3 linked regions of the Danio rerio genome follow. The main gene of each other region encodes a partner of the protein of the gene in region 3 in a complex. Links are inferred from orthologs where the notes say so. Each region holds a gene or a part of one and is shown on either strand. Other genes may lie near its edges.

Region 1 (4,860 bases), on a different chromosome or scaffold from region 3:
AAGTCTCTGCTGTCCGAAGAACGACCGACATGCGAAGCAACTTTATTGTTCCCTCTCCCGCAGACAGTGGTCGCTGCACGGGCGGATTGGGATGGATTTATAGCACGGGAAATCGCTGCGTTATGAATTTCATAAAATCTATGATTCTCAGCTGTGGACTGTATTCCCTCGAGATCTTGCAAGATTTGTTTACTCATTCTCCTCTCTTAAATACGTAAAAAGGAAGAATTGTGCGTTTTCTGAAAGCCTCTTGTTGTTTGTAAAGCAGGCCGCGCAGGCCTCGGATTTTCCTAAAAACTTGTCCGGCATGCTGCGATTGGCCCTTGGGGGAGTCGCGGCATTTTACACCCGGTAAGACCCTATAGCACTGCGCGCGCTGCAACAAGTCCTTTTGTTTAGCTGCGACTCTTATAATAGCATCCTACGTATTTCATTTCTAGCTAAATTTCTAAAATCTCTGAAACGTATCTTGGTTGAGTTGTAAACACAAAGATTAAGCAGGTTCACGTTGCAAGACGTTAACGATTATGCTATGTTATTAGCAGCTAAGCTAGCTACCAGCTTTTATGTTTCAACAAACTCTTTTCTGCTCTCAGAAAATGCGTTGCCTAATATAAAAACACACATATGATTTTAAATGTACAAATTCAGTGGATGCAATTAAATATTTGTGCATCGCGCTTTCATTTTTAGCATCGTCCCGTTGTAAGTCAACTCCATCTATGCAGCTCTAAACTATGTGAATTAACTGGTATCGCTAACATCATAGTAGATTTGTTATTACCACGTTATTGATAAGTTACTTAGGTTATTTGTGAAAGGTCGCTTTCACAAATGTGTAGTTTTTACAACTGTAATGTATAAATCTTTAATGAAGTGTTATGAGTCTTAACCCAAATACTTTTGACACAAACTTTTGTAAATAAATAACAGGACCAGAACATAACTTACAAGTTTTTCATGTATTTTGTGTAATATTTTAAGCATTTAGGCCAGACAATGTGTAGTTATAACGTCTTGTGGGCTATTTTGGCTTCACTTTAAAGGTATGTTTGAGAATGAATAAGAAGCTTGCAAAGATTGAGACTGTTGGCTATAGTAAAGGCAGCAGGTGCATAGATGTAGAAGTTTAGCCAAACACAGACTAATTCTTTTGTATTATTTTGAACACATTTCCAAAGTTTAATATTTTAAATAATTTACACATTCTATTTGAATTGTAGTTTGGCTATAATACGTTGAATTGTTCATTTGACAAATTTTTCTTACTTTCTCAACAGGTGTCGAGCCATGGTATGCACCTATTGCCCGGTTTGACTGCAACGGCTGAAGCATATTGATCTACAGTTGTCTGAAAGCTGTTGACACTGCCAACAAAATTTACTGTGAATCTGGTCTTTTCAACACCTCAACGGAATTGCTGACCTTTGTAAAGAAAATTGACACTCCACAGAGACAAATAAATAAACTGTGGTGCTTGGAAAAGAAGCAATACCATATTAAAAGACTTTTTTACATTAAGATAGTAGGCCGGAGGCTTTAGAATGGCATCTGTTCCGGTTTACTGCCTGTGTCGTCTCCCTTATGATGTCACCCGATTCATGATTGAGTGTGATGTTTGTCAGGACTGGTTTCATGGCAGGTGAGGTTGCAAAATTTTTAAATGACTGTTAAAAGCTAAATCTTGTACTTCTTATGAATGTGTTTTTTGTGAATGTAATAATATATGTTTTTTCTTTTTGTGTAGTTGTGTTGGTGTGGAGGAGGACAAAGCAGCAGAAATTGATCTGTATCATTGTCCTAACTGTCAGGTGACACATGGACCATCTGTCAGTAAGTGTCACAAATGGTGTAATAAATGTCAATTCTGACTATTTCTTAGTAAGTCTTTTTGTGGATTAAAAATAAATGTTTTCAGAGTATCTGTACCTATATTCATCTATTTTAAATCTCTGTTCATAGTCAATACAACCTTTATATAATCATGTTCATAGTACATCCATCTGTAAATATCACCCATAGTTTTTCTTTAATTGCACTTTATAACTTATACCTGTATCCTGCACTTGCTGCTGTTGCACTCCTGTTTAGACCTAAACTGCATTTCCTGGCCTCGTACTTGTGCATATTTAATGACAATAAAGTTGAATCTAATGTAATAGTGCTGGGTTAATTTGGTCTTTATGTTTATGAAATTGTATGGAAACTAATTTGCACCAAGTCAGAAACAGACTATTTTTGTTGTGTATTTTATGTATGATTATTCATAACTTCGATTTACAGCTTAGAATGGACTAATAAACATCTAAACTTGGAAAAATTTGACTAGTAACTATGATATCTATTTTTCTGTCAGTGCGTAAACGGCGAGGAGCTGTAAAACACGCTGATGTTGGATTGGGGAGAGACTCAGGGCGACCTGTGAAGACGGGCAGTGCTCAGTTTGTCAGAGAGCTACGCTGTCGCACTTTTCCCAGGTACATTTACACTATTGCTAGCTCAAAATGACCTCTAGGTAATTCTAGGTTGTCAATACCTCTAGTACTCTACATTTTAAAGGAACATTTCACTTTTTTTTACAAGTTACCTTAAGTTAAACAGTTAATTTTTTCCATTTTTGAATCCATTCAGCCGATATCCGGGACTGGTGGGAGAACTTTTAGCTTGCCATAAATCATTGAATCGATTAGCATCTTGCTTGTTATAGTCATTTTCCTATTTAAATCTTAACTCTTCTGTAGTTATATTGTGTACTCAGGGCCGGATAAATGTAAGGGCTAGGTGGGGCTTGATTAGCTAAAGGATTAATTTGCGGTATGACGAGGGAAACGCCTCTGCGTTGTGCTTACTCTACGAAAATAATGTGAAGTAATTCTTCCGGTTCGCTGCTGTTCAAAAACAGTGACGTCAGTGCTAAACTGGGGCTCAGTGGCTGTAGCCCAATCAGAATATTGAATATCCCTGTTTTAGTCACCCAAAGAGTGATCACATATCTCATTTTTACCAGGAAAGTCTTATTTTGGCACTACTGCAAGAACCGTCCAGTCAAAGTTAGGCTAACTTGTACATGTAACAACAGAAGCTGGGATAGGCGGAACTGAAGCAATGTCTCGACCGTGCAGCGATTACAGCTGGACTCAAAGCGGCGCACACCCGCACAATCCTTCCATCACACAATATAACCGAAACAGTGTGCGATCAAATCAAATTGCCTGTAAAGCATTTTCAAAATATCCATGGTTGTGGAGTATCTATCTCAAGTAAATACACTCTATGCTTTACAGCAGGGGTGTCAAACTCAATTCCTGGAGGGCCGAAGCCCTGCACAGTTTAGTTCCAACCCTGCTCAAACACACTTACCTGTAGGTTTCAAACAAGCCTGAAGGACTCAATTAGTTTGATCAGGTGTGTTTAATTAGGGTTGGAACTAAACTGTGCAGAGCTGCGGCCCTTTTGGAACTGAGTTTGACACCTGTGCTTTACAGTAAGTCTAACTGAACCAGTTAGAAAGCAAACTTTTTTTTTAATGGATGCTTACTTTGCCCCTTTTATGAAAATGATAGTAATAATATGGAGCAATGAAATATTGACCCTGGCTTTCATTAGACAATATATCTGATGCAAAAAAACAATAGATAAATAAACAAAATAAGGATAACCTTCTGTAACTCAGAAGACCACAAAAAGCTATTTTGGATATTAGAAGCATGGATATTAAAGATATTATATCATTAGGGATTTATGGTCACCTAAAGTTCTAAAGAACGTTTTTAAAGGTAAACCCCAATTTAAAGTATTAATTATAAAGCACTAATTGAGGTAGTATTGCAAAAGTTTTTTGTTTTGTTTTGTTGATGTTTGCAGCCTGTTTGAACTTTAAAGTTCATATTATGTCATTGCTTAATTTTGTATTCTTGCAGGCCTATTTTAATAAAATAGAAAAAAATCCATAATAATCAAATATAAAAAAATCTAATGGTGGAAAATTAGATAATATGAATTAGTAAATTATTACTAACCATAATAATAATACCAAAAACAACAATTAATAATAATATATACTTTTGTGAGGTAAAAAAAATAAAGGGGAGGGCCTTGGATTTGCTATAGCCCCAGGGCCCAATGTATTCCTAATCCGGCCCTGTGTGTACTAAGACTAACGGAAAATGAAAAGTTGTTTTTCCACCAATGATATTTTGCAGCACTGTTACCTAGCTGGGGACTATTTTCAGCTGCTGCATAATATCATTGCACCTGCTGCAACCATGGAACGGCAGCAAAGTTTCTTGATTATCATGCCAGAGTGAGAGCATAGCCACATCGACCTAGAAAATAGCAACCTTTATTTTTTTGTCACTCTTGGTGCACAATGTAATTACAGAAGAGTTGAGATTTAAATTAAATTATCAAAATGTTTTTTTTTTTTTTTTTACATTTTTGGTTGAGATGCTTATGGTCTAATCTGATTCAATGATTTATGCTAAGCTAAAGCCTTGTTTTTACTTCTGCGTCGAATGATCAGCGTGACCCACTGTGCCTGCCTTGCGTATAGTCCTGCATTTATAATTCTGCATGCTGTTTGTGTTGCTCTGCAATAACACTTGTGAAACACTAGCTGGCAGTAGGGTTTTTTGTTCATCTGTGTCGAGTTTCTTCGCAGGTGTTTTGTTTTTTCTGAACGCTACCTTGCTATACAAGTAGCTCAAACTCACGACTGATTGGATTTTAAAATGCTAAAATTGAACTCTTTAGCTTTATGTTACTATTCCTTGAAAATTAGTTAAATTTAATCTTGATCTGACTTTAAACAAATTCTTCACTTCTAATTGTGGGCTTATGCTTATCTGATGTTACAATAAT
Region 2 (5,069 bases), on a different chromosome or scaffold from region 3:
TTGTATTTTATTACATTAAAAAATCATTTCACCCCTCCCCCCATTTTTATACCACATGTTATTATGAATTTATTATGTATCATATTGATTCATCAGGCCTTTTGGTAACTTCTTAGCTCAAAACTATTTTAATTTTAGCTACAAACAAAGTTATAACATTTCAATTAAATAGAACATTTCACACTGTTTGTTTCTGTTTTTTTTACACTAAACATTTGACAGTCTTTTTTATTTCACTTTTAGCAGTTTCAGTCAATTGTTCTTGCAAAGACAGACCTTCTGCCTCAGTCTGAATGTGAGAAGTAATTGCAATGTTCTTTTGCCCTTTAGGACTCCCATGTCTATCATTTTGTTTTGACAAATGTACAACAACAAGTCCAAAAGCAAGGCTAGTCAAGGTGCTATAATCATTTAGTAAGTGAAAATTAAATTAAGAAGAAATTTGGGGTGGTATGAGATGCATTTCTTTGTGACTTAACATGCTTAATGTAATTATACCTTTTACTATACTTCAAACTATTACAGTTGTGTTCAGAACTGCGAAAAGCATATTTTTAAGCATATTGATATCTTTATGAAAAAATATCTTTAATTTATTGATGGAAATATTTTCCACATTTTATCACTTGCCTGTTATAAAATATAGTTGGATTGAAGGGGGGCGCGCAAAAGTTGTAGCCGCATACCCATCAGTACATGTGAAGTTGTGCCCCTGTATACAGCTTATTATATACAATAAATGTATTATAGAATTTAACTTTTTTAAAGATGTTATTGCACAACTTTCTACTACTAAAATATTACTATCACAAATCGATGGTACAAAAGCACACATACTGTGCAAAAATGATTATTGACAAAGGATGAAGGTCTTCATCCAAACATAAACTCCTTCAAACAGGCCTTTTATTAATTATTGGTTAAAACATATTATACCCAAGTGATATTATAAGGAGAAACTAAAATGTTTTTTGTTTTGTGATCATAAATTTGTTTTAAAATTAAACTTTATCAAAGGGCTCACCTGAATATCTCTTTCTGGATAGATGGAATAACTATTTCCTAAATGATTTATTCAGATAAATTTTGACAAAGTAAAGTTGACATCAAGGTACTGAAACGGTTAACAGAGGGGACTTTGTTTGAAATGCTTTTATTTTGAAATATACAAAATTTAATTTATAGTATAATATAATATAATATAAAAAAATTATTTTGATTTATATTTGACGTAATAATCTATATAAATCTTAAATAATGCTCTGGACTGGTATGTGTCGAATATATATATATATATATATATATATATATATATATATATATATATATATATATATATATATATATATATATATATATATATACATTGTTATATGTTAATATTATTTAATTTCGCGAGTAATATCAGTCATTCCATTTTTGCGATGTTGTTTCTACAGAAAAAAATAATAATTTAAGAAAAGTGTCTTTTATTTTGCCTGTTGACGTCACATTGACGCACCGACGTCTTGTTTGTGATGCAGCGCGGGAGTTTCATTTTGTGCCTCATTTTATTTTTTGCTAATTTTACTCTTTCAAAAATGTAACTTTATTTCCGCGGTTATTCATTTTATACTCATCTAACGTAAGTCACATTACTCCTAACTTAGCATGCTAACGATAACTTAGCTTACGGTCGTTGTTTACATTCGGTACGTTAATACCAGTCAAACTTGAGAAAATAACTTTCTACGCTGTCAGTTTTGTCATATAAATGTTCGTATTAACCTTTAAACACTGCTTTTTACGTATGTAGTCGATTGAATCGTGTTTACTAGACACAAGTATCGCTCTTGTCAAGTGTCAGTTAAATATTAACGATAAATCAAATGGCAGTCAGTAAATGTTGTGTTTATCCACAATACACAGGCCTAATACACCGCTAATGTTTGTGTCCTCAGACTCTGACCTCCACTGGACACTGAAACCCACAGAATGGCAGCGACACCAGTGGAATATACCATAGGAGGGGTGAAAATAAACTTCCCCTGTAAAGCGTATCCCTCTCAGCTGGCCATGATGAACTCTGTAAGATATGTTGCACACTGACAGATGTGTTCATGTTTTACTCTTTACGAACAAGCATGCATGCCGTCCTTTATTTCTCACCCTAACATATTTATAAAGAAACTTGTAAAGAAGTTTAGTTAGTTGAACATGACGTGTCTGGTATTTTCATGTTTATCTTAGATCATTCGTGGACTTAACAACGGGCAGCACTGTCTACTGGAGAGCCCCACTGGCAGTGGCAAGAGTCTTGCTTTGCTTTGTTCGGCCCTTGCATGGCAGCAAGCTCAGTTTGGTAAGAAATGAGTCCATCTATTCTGTCTGTTATTGCAATGGTTTATACATAAATGGGAGATAAAGGTGATCAATAGCAACACATTGCATGTAAAAATGATTAGATAATTTCCATATCATTATAAAAATCTCTAATGGAATTAAATAAAATAATTAAAAATTCTTAAAAAAATTACTACAGAATTTCAAAACTGAAAGAACTGTTTAAAAGCTTATGGTATTAAAATGTTTATATAGAATGAATTGCATAATATTATTTTGTTATATATAAAGAGTTTAGATGCAAAAACCTCTAAATGGCACAATTTTCTCCTAAAATTATATATATTTTTTTAGCCACCTATATTTATATTTTGCTATTTCACGTTAAAGGCAATGAAAAGAACTTATAAATGAATTCTTAAACACACACAAGAGGCTGAGAAAATGCTTATTTTAGAAGAAAACAACAAATAGCATTTTGAGGTTTTGCAACTAAACGTCATATATTATATAATTTTTGCTGTCCCCCCCAGCTTTTTGATTCTGAAAAAAAAGGTTAATTTGATTGTCAAAAGTTTAAAAAACAATTTTTTTTTTTACCAGCCTTCAGTACTTAGTATTAGGATCCATTACCAATAATTCCATCATGCTGATGTGGTTTCATCATCATCATTATCATCATCATCATCATCATCAATAGTATCCATTGTTATTGTGAAATCCATGATACAATTTTATCATACTTTAATGGACCAACATGTCAAAAGGAAATCTCATTTTTAGCGCAATATCATTAGCCATTTTGGCAGTTAAATACCCAAGAACTCAGTGACATTTGTATGTTTGTGTATGTTTCATAGAGAATTTAATCTATGATTTTTTTTATCATACTGCATATTAAGTTAAGGAGCAAGATGCAGGCACTGGATTTGCTGACTGTAAGAAATCAGAAGTGGTTACTCCATGTCAGTGTGCATGCCATAGCCGAAATGCACAGTCCACTTTCAACACCAGAGCATCCAGACCACCTACAGTTCATCTTACGTGTGAAGGTACTTCCGCTCAGCCTACAACCCCTCTCTCAAAAGGAGGTAAGCGTTTAAAACATTTTGAATCGTAAGCATAAATTCTCGTTCACACTTGATAATCAAACTGTATACTCATTGGAAATGAACATGCAAGTAAGGCATGGAAGTAGCAGAAGGATTTCCACTTAAAGACAAATCCTTGTACATTGTTGATAAAATTAGTGTGACTGATGTCAAAGAGAAATCTGTTTATGATTTGTGTAATACATTTTGACTATAAAAAATATATTTTAATAGACTATATATATATTATAGACTATATATATATATTTATATATATATATATATATATATATATATATATATATATATATATATATATATATATATATATATATATATTTATATATATATATATATATATATATTTATATTTAATAGACTATATATAAATATATATTAGGGATGGGAAGATTAACCGATATGTATCGATACGCGGTCTTGCGCGTGCACGATGCGAGTGCATCGGTAGAGCAGCAGAGGATGAATGAAATTTTGGAAGCAAATCGAGATGCATCGGTTTTTGCGAGATGCATCGGTTTTTCCAAGATACAACTTATATTTTTAATATAGAATGTATTTTTTATTTATTAACAAATTTGTCAACCTGTTTTTGGCGCATAATTTAATCGACCTACATAAATTATGCATTAGCAACTAGGGGTGTAACGATATTAAAACCGACCCGAAATATCGCGATACACCAGCCACGATACGTATCGCGAAACTCTCGTGGCGTATCGCGGAACTCTCACTCCCCCTGCTGCCCATTGTTGAGGTTGACGTCACTTGTCTCTAACTAATTGAACCAATTTAAACACATCTTTATTATCACATTTAATTAAATTGTTTTAGTAATGATGAGGTTTTGTTCTAAATATTATATTCTAAAGTTAGTATTTTAGTGCATGTCATGTCATGTGACTTGAGTGAGCATCACACTCGTTACTACTGGACGCAGGATGGCTGCTTCACATAGTACTGAGATTGCAGATCCCCAAGACACATTTAAGTCATCTGTGTGGAAACATTTTGGTTTTCCAGTTGAGTACAGGAATAGAATTCGTGTCGTAGACAAAGCGCACGCCTGTCTGTCTTAACTGTTTCACGAAACTTACTTGTAAGGAAAAACATTTAAAAAGTGTGGTAATTTCACAATGTGAGGGTGTAAGCAACAGAACTGCCAACAAAAGTGATTTAATGTACAAAAGTGAAACCAGAATAATGCCAATATACAAAAAAAGAGAAATATTTACACTAATAAAAATAATATAATAAAGTAGCAAATTCAAACAAAAGTATCAAACAGAAATTAGTTAAACTCGATAGTGATAGTGAAGACAAACAAAAGAAATAAATATAATAAAACAATTCTAACTCATGAATAACCCCTTATCTCGCTAAAACTGATGAAAAGAAAAAAAAAGGTCTTCAGCGCCGTGCGCCGCATTCTTCCCTATACTGAATAAAATAAACAAAGATGACCTTCACCTCTTACCTGATGTCTTTAGCAATAAATTTTCTACGTGTTTGCAAAATGGAAATCGTATGACATTTTCCCTATTTACCTTACACTAAGAGTGAACAGCTATATTGTCGGGAAGGAGCGGATCCAAAAAATAATATACAAATCAATTGAAATAAAAATGTACAAACCTC
Region 3 (5,040 bases):
TCCACAGGTTAGTAGTAATCTAATGTAATATTATTTGCATAATGCAAATCTTAAATTCATGCTTACAAATGATCAAAAAATTATTAATGCAATTCAAATATATAAAATATGATTGTGTATACATTAAACTTTAATGATATCGTTCAATATATATATATTTTGTCAATAAAAGATTTTTCCAGAGTCATCCATCATAAATTTGTGACTAAAAAGTATCGGTTCAGGCACCTTTTTGGCACCGGTACAATTTTAAAGGTATTGATGTAGCACCGATTGATTTAGTATCGAGACTGATTTAGATCGAAATAACCCCAAACAATACTTAACCCTAGTGAAAAATAATATTTACTGTTTTTAATGTCGAATTTGAAGTGTTTTTTTTTTCTACTGTTTCATTCATGTATTGATTTGTGGTTACTATTATGTAATATCTTTTTATCCTAAATAGTCATAAGTAGGGCCAGGCAGAAACTGCGGACATTTTTTGCCATTTCTTTGGAGAACTTTGTAAACAATCTGCAGATTTATCATAACTAAAAACTTAATATATGAATTAAAAAGCAATACCTTTTTAACTTTTTATTTAAAGTTGACAATGCAAATCCAACTAGATCCACTTATTTGGTAAACAAAATTCTCTCATATAATAGATCTACTAAAAGACAAAATATGACTTTACAATCTGTATTGTAAAGCAATCATATGAACATTTTAATATTACTATTATTACATCTCAATAATATTAGTGAAATCAATTTAAACACTGGATTAATATAAATGTACACACATTTATACAAGTAAATAAATAGACTAAATGATGGCCTAAAAATATGCAGAAATCTGTGGATTTCTGTGCGCTCAGATTCTGTGTGGCCTAGTCATAAGTTACTGAGAAGGTAATAAATCAACAAAAAATCTAATTGGCAGCTAAGATGCTGGTATTATGTGTTTTAGGATAAAGCAATGGGGTCTAATGTCATGCTCTCTGTTTCAGATGGTCTTGTGACGACTCGGTCACTCATTACATCTACCAGGGGAAAGTGGGAGACAACAGTAAAGAATACAGAGCTGTCAAAGAGAGAGGACTCTATATAGTTTCACAACACTGGCTACAGGCTGTAAGTATATGAAGTTACCTAATGAGTAGATATACATTAAGCATTCATTAGAGTTTAAAAACAAAACTTAAAGCATTGCCTCATTGTTACACAATGTCAAAATGTATTTGCATTTTCAAATATACAAATAATTTCAGTTACTTTCTTACTCCCAGGGCCATTTTAAATCGAAATTGATATTTAGCCGCACCATGTTGGTGTTTCGTTACATCTAATCTTTTTTATGAGGTGGGAAGATTAGGACATACACATACACACTGCAGACAATTTAGCTTAGCCAATTCACCTACAGCGCATGTCTTTGGACTTGTGGGGGAAATCGGAGCACCTGGAGGAAACCCACACAAACACGGGGAGAACATGCAAACTCCACACAGAAATACCAGCTGACCCAGCTGAGGTTTAAACCAGCGAGCTTCTTGCTGTGAGGTAGAGGTCTGCATTATAAATATAAATAAATATAAATAATCAATATTATTATTATTATTCATTTCCGAAAAGAAAACGGGAAGGGTCGGGCAGCGGGACAACAAATACTTAATATATGCGGGAGCGGTCGGGTTCGGGCTAAAACCTGGCAGGAGCGGGATTCAAAATATTGTCCCGCGCAGATCTCTACTGTGAGGCGATAGCGCTTCCCACTGCACCACCATGTAATAAAAACAGTTGTTTGTTACAAAGTATTTAATTCAGATATTGCTATTATTAAAGATACATTTTGAGCATTTGATGATGGGAAAATGCACCAAAATTTTCAAAATGTATTCTGAATAGAATGACAACGATCTAAAAAAAATAGCACGTACAATTCAATATCAAAACCATTAAATAAACCCCTAATGTTCTATTAACACCATAGAAAGAGGACACGTACCACAATACAACAGGTGTACATGACTGTAAGCTGACAAATTGACTGTTGGAGCTCCTGTTTGGCCATTTCAAGATTTTTTTCTGTGCTTACCAGTTATTATATGTATGTAAATGACTACACCATGCTAAAATATTCATTTGCTGTGAAAGATTTTGAGAAATAAATGACGAAGTAAATGATGAAAAAAAAAAGTAAGTAAAAGCTGAGAAGCTCTTAAATAAGTTAAATTTAGAAGCTCAAGACATAATCTTTAAACTAAAAACTTTTATTAAAATGTTGACAGTGGTTTGTGATATAAGAACTGCCACAGAGAATTAATTTTGATTTGATGATTGATTCAATGATTGATTTGAGGTAGCCTGCTATTTTTATTTGATGGAAGTAAAAATAGCCTATGCTGGTTTAAAAGGATTCACGAAGTGTTTTCGTTTTGTAATCTACATTTGCAATTTAAGTGAAAAATATCTAGTGCAGGCATTTATTTTTAGCCTTTTATTTTGTTTAATATTTTTTCTGTGCTGTTGGAAACACTGCAGGTGCTTTGAGATGTTCTGTTGATAATATGTTCGCATGTTAAAATAAATCAGTATTTTAAAATGCAATATTTAACGTGTCAGACACAAAATAGACACGTCAATTATTTTTTAAAATTAAATAATAATTTAATATTAATCTGACCACTTAATCATTAATATTGGGTTAACGAGTGGTGGTTGTTGGTTTGCAAAATTAACCGAAATGAGTATTTCTAGTTTCTTTTATCCTTGTTTATGTAAACCATTTTGAATTACTATTGTGTTTGAAATGTGCTACTGTATATAAATAAACTTGCCTTGCCTAATAATGGACATTAAAAATTGAAAGTAAATAATTTAACAGTAGTGCAAAGCTGGGGAATTCATTACATTCACTCACCATTCCTTTTTCAGTGTGCAGATGAGCAGAAGCATGTGTCGGAGTCGCTCTACCCTTTTACATTCAACCCTAAAATGAGCCTCACCATGAGTCAGATGGCAGATTCCACTCAGAGATCACCTCCTTCTGCCACCCCCCGCACCAGACTGAGAGCTTTCGCTGAGAATGAGGAGACCAGGGTGACCATTCATAACTTTACCACCAATCAATCCCAGCTTATCAAGTTTTTATTAAAGGTTATATCTTGTATATATTTATTCTTTATTTCTAAAGTTGGGCCCTGATGATGACATCACCGACGTCTCAACTCCTAAGCAAGGCAGTGTGGGAGAGCCTGAGAAAGATCAAACCATCAGCACCGAGAAGAAAAGCAAGTCATCTTTAAAGACATGTCTTTGATTTATTTATTATACATCTCTCTCTCTCTCTCTCTCTCTCTCTCTCTCTCTCTCTCTCTCTCTCTCTCTCTCTCTCTCTTTCTCTCTCTCTCTCTCTCTCTCTCTCTCTCTCTCTCTCTCTCTCTCTCTCTCTCTCTCTCTCTCTCTCACTGATCTTAAGTTAATTGACTCTTCCTTTAATTTTCTTATATTGTGCCTCCCTCAGATCTCACGGAAACACTGGAGATGAGGGAAAGTCTTCAAAGGCAGCTTCAGGAGATCATGTCTGCCACTAAACTAACCAGCGGTCGTCGAGGCTCCTCGCGGTTGGCCAAAACAGGCCCAGGGGGGCTGGACTCTCCCCACACCCCGGACAGCCTGGGGCGGATGAGCAGACGCAGTCGCAATTTAGAGGCCATACGGTATAAAAACAAGACTACACAGAATACTGTTTGATTCTCTTATTGTCTCAAAGCTTTTACCACTTGAGAGTATACATTGCATTTTCTGGTTGTTCACTTGAGAATTTAGACAGACAATGATTTTGATGATTTCTGTTGATGTGCATCAGATGCAAGGACTTAAGTCTTTTAATTTTTCAAAACTACATTTTAGGCCTTACAAAGTCTTAGGGCTCTAGTTTAACAATCTAGGCACACGGCGCATAAGCATTTACGGTGTGTCCGTGGTGGACTTTGTAAGTGGAAACCTGACTGCTTCACTAGCGATAAAACAGTTAATCAAACCTTATTCACCGCGAGGATAAAGAATGAGCCTCCTTTCATTTTCTTTCTCTTTACTTTTACTCTCTCTCTTCGTGGAAAGGAAACAGTGTTGTACGCTTTCCACTGAAGACATTCTTTAGCCTACATATTTAATTTTGTTTGTTAAGAACAAAGATTTGTTTTAAAACTATTTCTAAATTCAGGTCTAATTTCAGTCAAAAAACTTGAGTTATATCCTAACACATGTCCTATTCTTATGCCCCGTATGGTGATGCATACGTCTCCAAAACCAGTCAGGTGGACAAATCTAAACTTGTTTTTATAAAAAAATATAAACATGCATATAATAATTAAAACTGTTAATAATAATAGCATTATATAAATGCAAACTGTCATGAACAAACGGAAAAAAAGTCTTTTGCCTATTGCGCAAGGTGTACGATAGGGCCCTTAAATTCACTCAGATTTTTGTGTTGTAGATCTTACATTTTTAAACGGAACTTAATTTACCTGTCCATGTAAAGATCAGGCTAACACCCATCCTACCACCAACAATTTATCTCAATTAAGCATGTAACAAGTTACATTTATTACACTATTTTTATATGTGTATGTTTTTTTTTTATTATTAATTATGTATACAACTAGAATTTGTTTGTTTTGATACAATTTTTTAAAATCTAATGTAAATTCAATTTTATGGGGGCAGGGGACAATTACTAATCTTTTCCACTGGCAATTAGAAAAAATTGTTAGTGTTTAGCCCTTTATAATTCTGAAATTTTTTTTATAATAGTCTTGAAATTTTAAAAATCTTAAATTGGACTTTTCTGAAACCTGTAGAAACTGTGGTTATCATTAGACTCGAATGTTGAAAGATTGTGTGTTTGGCAGGATGTCACGTCAAGTATGTGTGGATCTGAACACAGAGCCATCCCAGAGTGAGCAGATCGTTTGGGATGACCCCACAGCACGAGAAGAGAGAGCTAAACTGGCTGATAACCTGCAGTGGCCTGGCAGCCCCTCTCAGC

What was found.
Region 1: the proteins of topbp1 (region 3) and phf8 are in contact, whole or in part, in a crystal structure (PDB 7CMZ), measured with the Homo sapiens proteins. The link is inferred for Danio rerio from reciprocal best matches to the Homo sapiens genes TOPBP1 and PHF8. Residues at the interface, in NP_008958.2 of Homo sapiens: Gln1298, Cys1299, Arg1314, Asn1315, Glu1316, Leu1319, Arg1369, Ser1406, Arg1407, Gly1410, Phe1411, Arg1413, Leu1414, Arg1465, Thr1466, Glu1467, Ala1470, Asp1471, Gln1475, Asn1483, Tyr1484; in NP_001171825.1 of Homo sapiens: Gly842, Ala843, Cys844, Phe845, Asp847, Ala848, Tyr850, Ile851, Tyr852, Pro853, Ser854, Leu855, Glu856.
Region 2: the proteins of topbp1 (region 3) and brip1 are in contact, whole or in part, in a crystal structure (PDB 3AL3), measured with the Homo sapiens proteins. The link is inferred for Danio rerio from reciprocal best matches to the Homo sapiens genes TOPBP1 and BRIP1. Residues at the interface, in NP_008958.2 of Homo sapiens: Leu1272, Ser1273, Ser1274, Leu1275, Asn1276, Pro1277, Arg1280, Gln1298, His1311, Leu1313, Arg1314, Asn1315, Glu1316, Lys1317, Leu1319, Gln1366, Arg1407, Gly1410, Phe1411, Leu1414, Thr1466, Glu1467, Ile1469, Ala1470; in NP_114432.2 of Homo sapiens: Ser1129, Tyr1131, Phe1132, Thr1133, Pro1134, Glu1135, Leu1136, Tyr1137, Asp1138.

What each region holds. Positions count from the first base shown.
Region 1 is NC_133198.1:30,524,805-30,529,664, reverse strand, and holds the start of phf8 (histone lysine demethylase PHF8), read left to right. Parts: upstream 1-1,290; 5' UTR 1,291-1,544; coding exon 1,545-1,642; intron 1,643-1,747; coding exon 1,748-1,833; intron 1,834-2,356; coding exon 2,357-2,477; intron 2,478-4,860. UniProt on the Homo sapiens protein: Histone lysine demethylase with selectivity for the di- and monomethyl states that plays a key role cell cycle progression, rDNA transcription and brain development.
Region 2 is NC_133190.1:30,011,804-30,016,872, reverse strand, and holds the start of brip1 (Fanconi anemia group J protein), read left to right. Parts: upstream 1-1,499; 5' UTR 1,500-1,624; intron 1,625-1,940; 5' UTR 1,941-1,974; coding exon 1,975-2,067; intron 2,068-2,229; coding exon 2,230-2,341; intron 2,342-3,224; coding exon 3,225-3,413; intron 3,414-5,069. UniProt on the Homo sapiens protein: DNA-dependent ATPase and 5'-3' DNA helicase required for the maintenance of chromosomal stability. Acts late in the Fanconi anemia pathway, after FANCD2 ubiquitination.
Region 3 is NC_133199.1:10,074,063-10,079,102, forward strand, and holds part of topbp1 (DNA topoisomerase 2-binding protein 1), read left to right. Parts: intron 1-994; coding exon 995-1,118; intron 1,119-2,921; coding exon 2,922-3,086; intron 3,087-3,180; coding exon 3,181-3,277; intron 3,278-3,510; coding exon 3,511-3,706; intron 3,707-4,903; coding exon 4,904-5,040. UniProt on the Homo sapiens protein: Scaffold protein that acts as a key protein-protein adapter in DNA replication and DNA repair. Composed of multiple BRCT domains, which specifically recognize and bind phosphorylated proteins, bringing proteins together into functional combinations.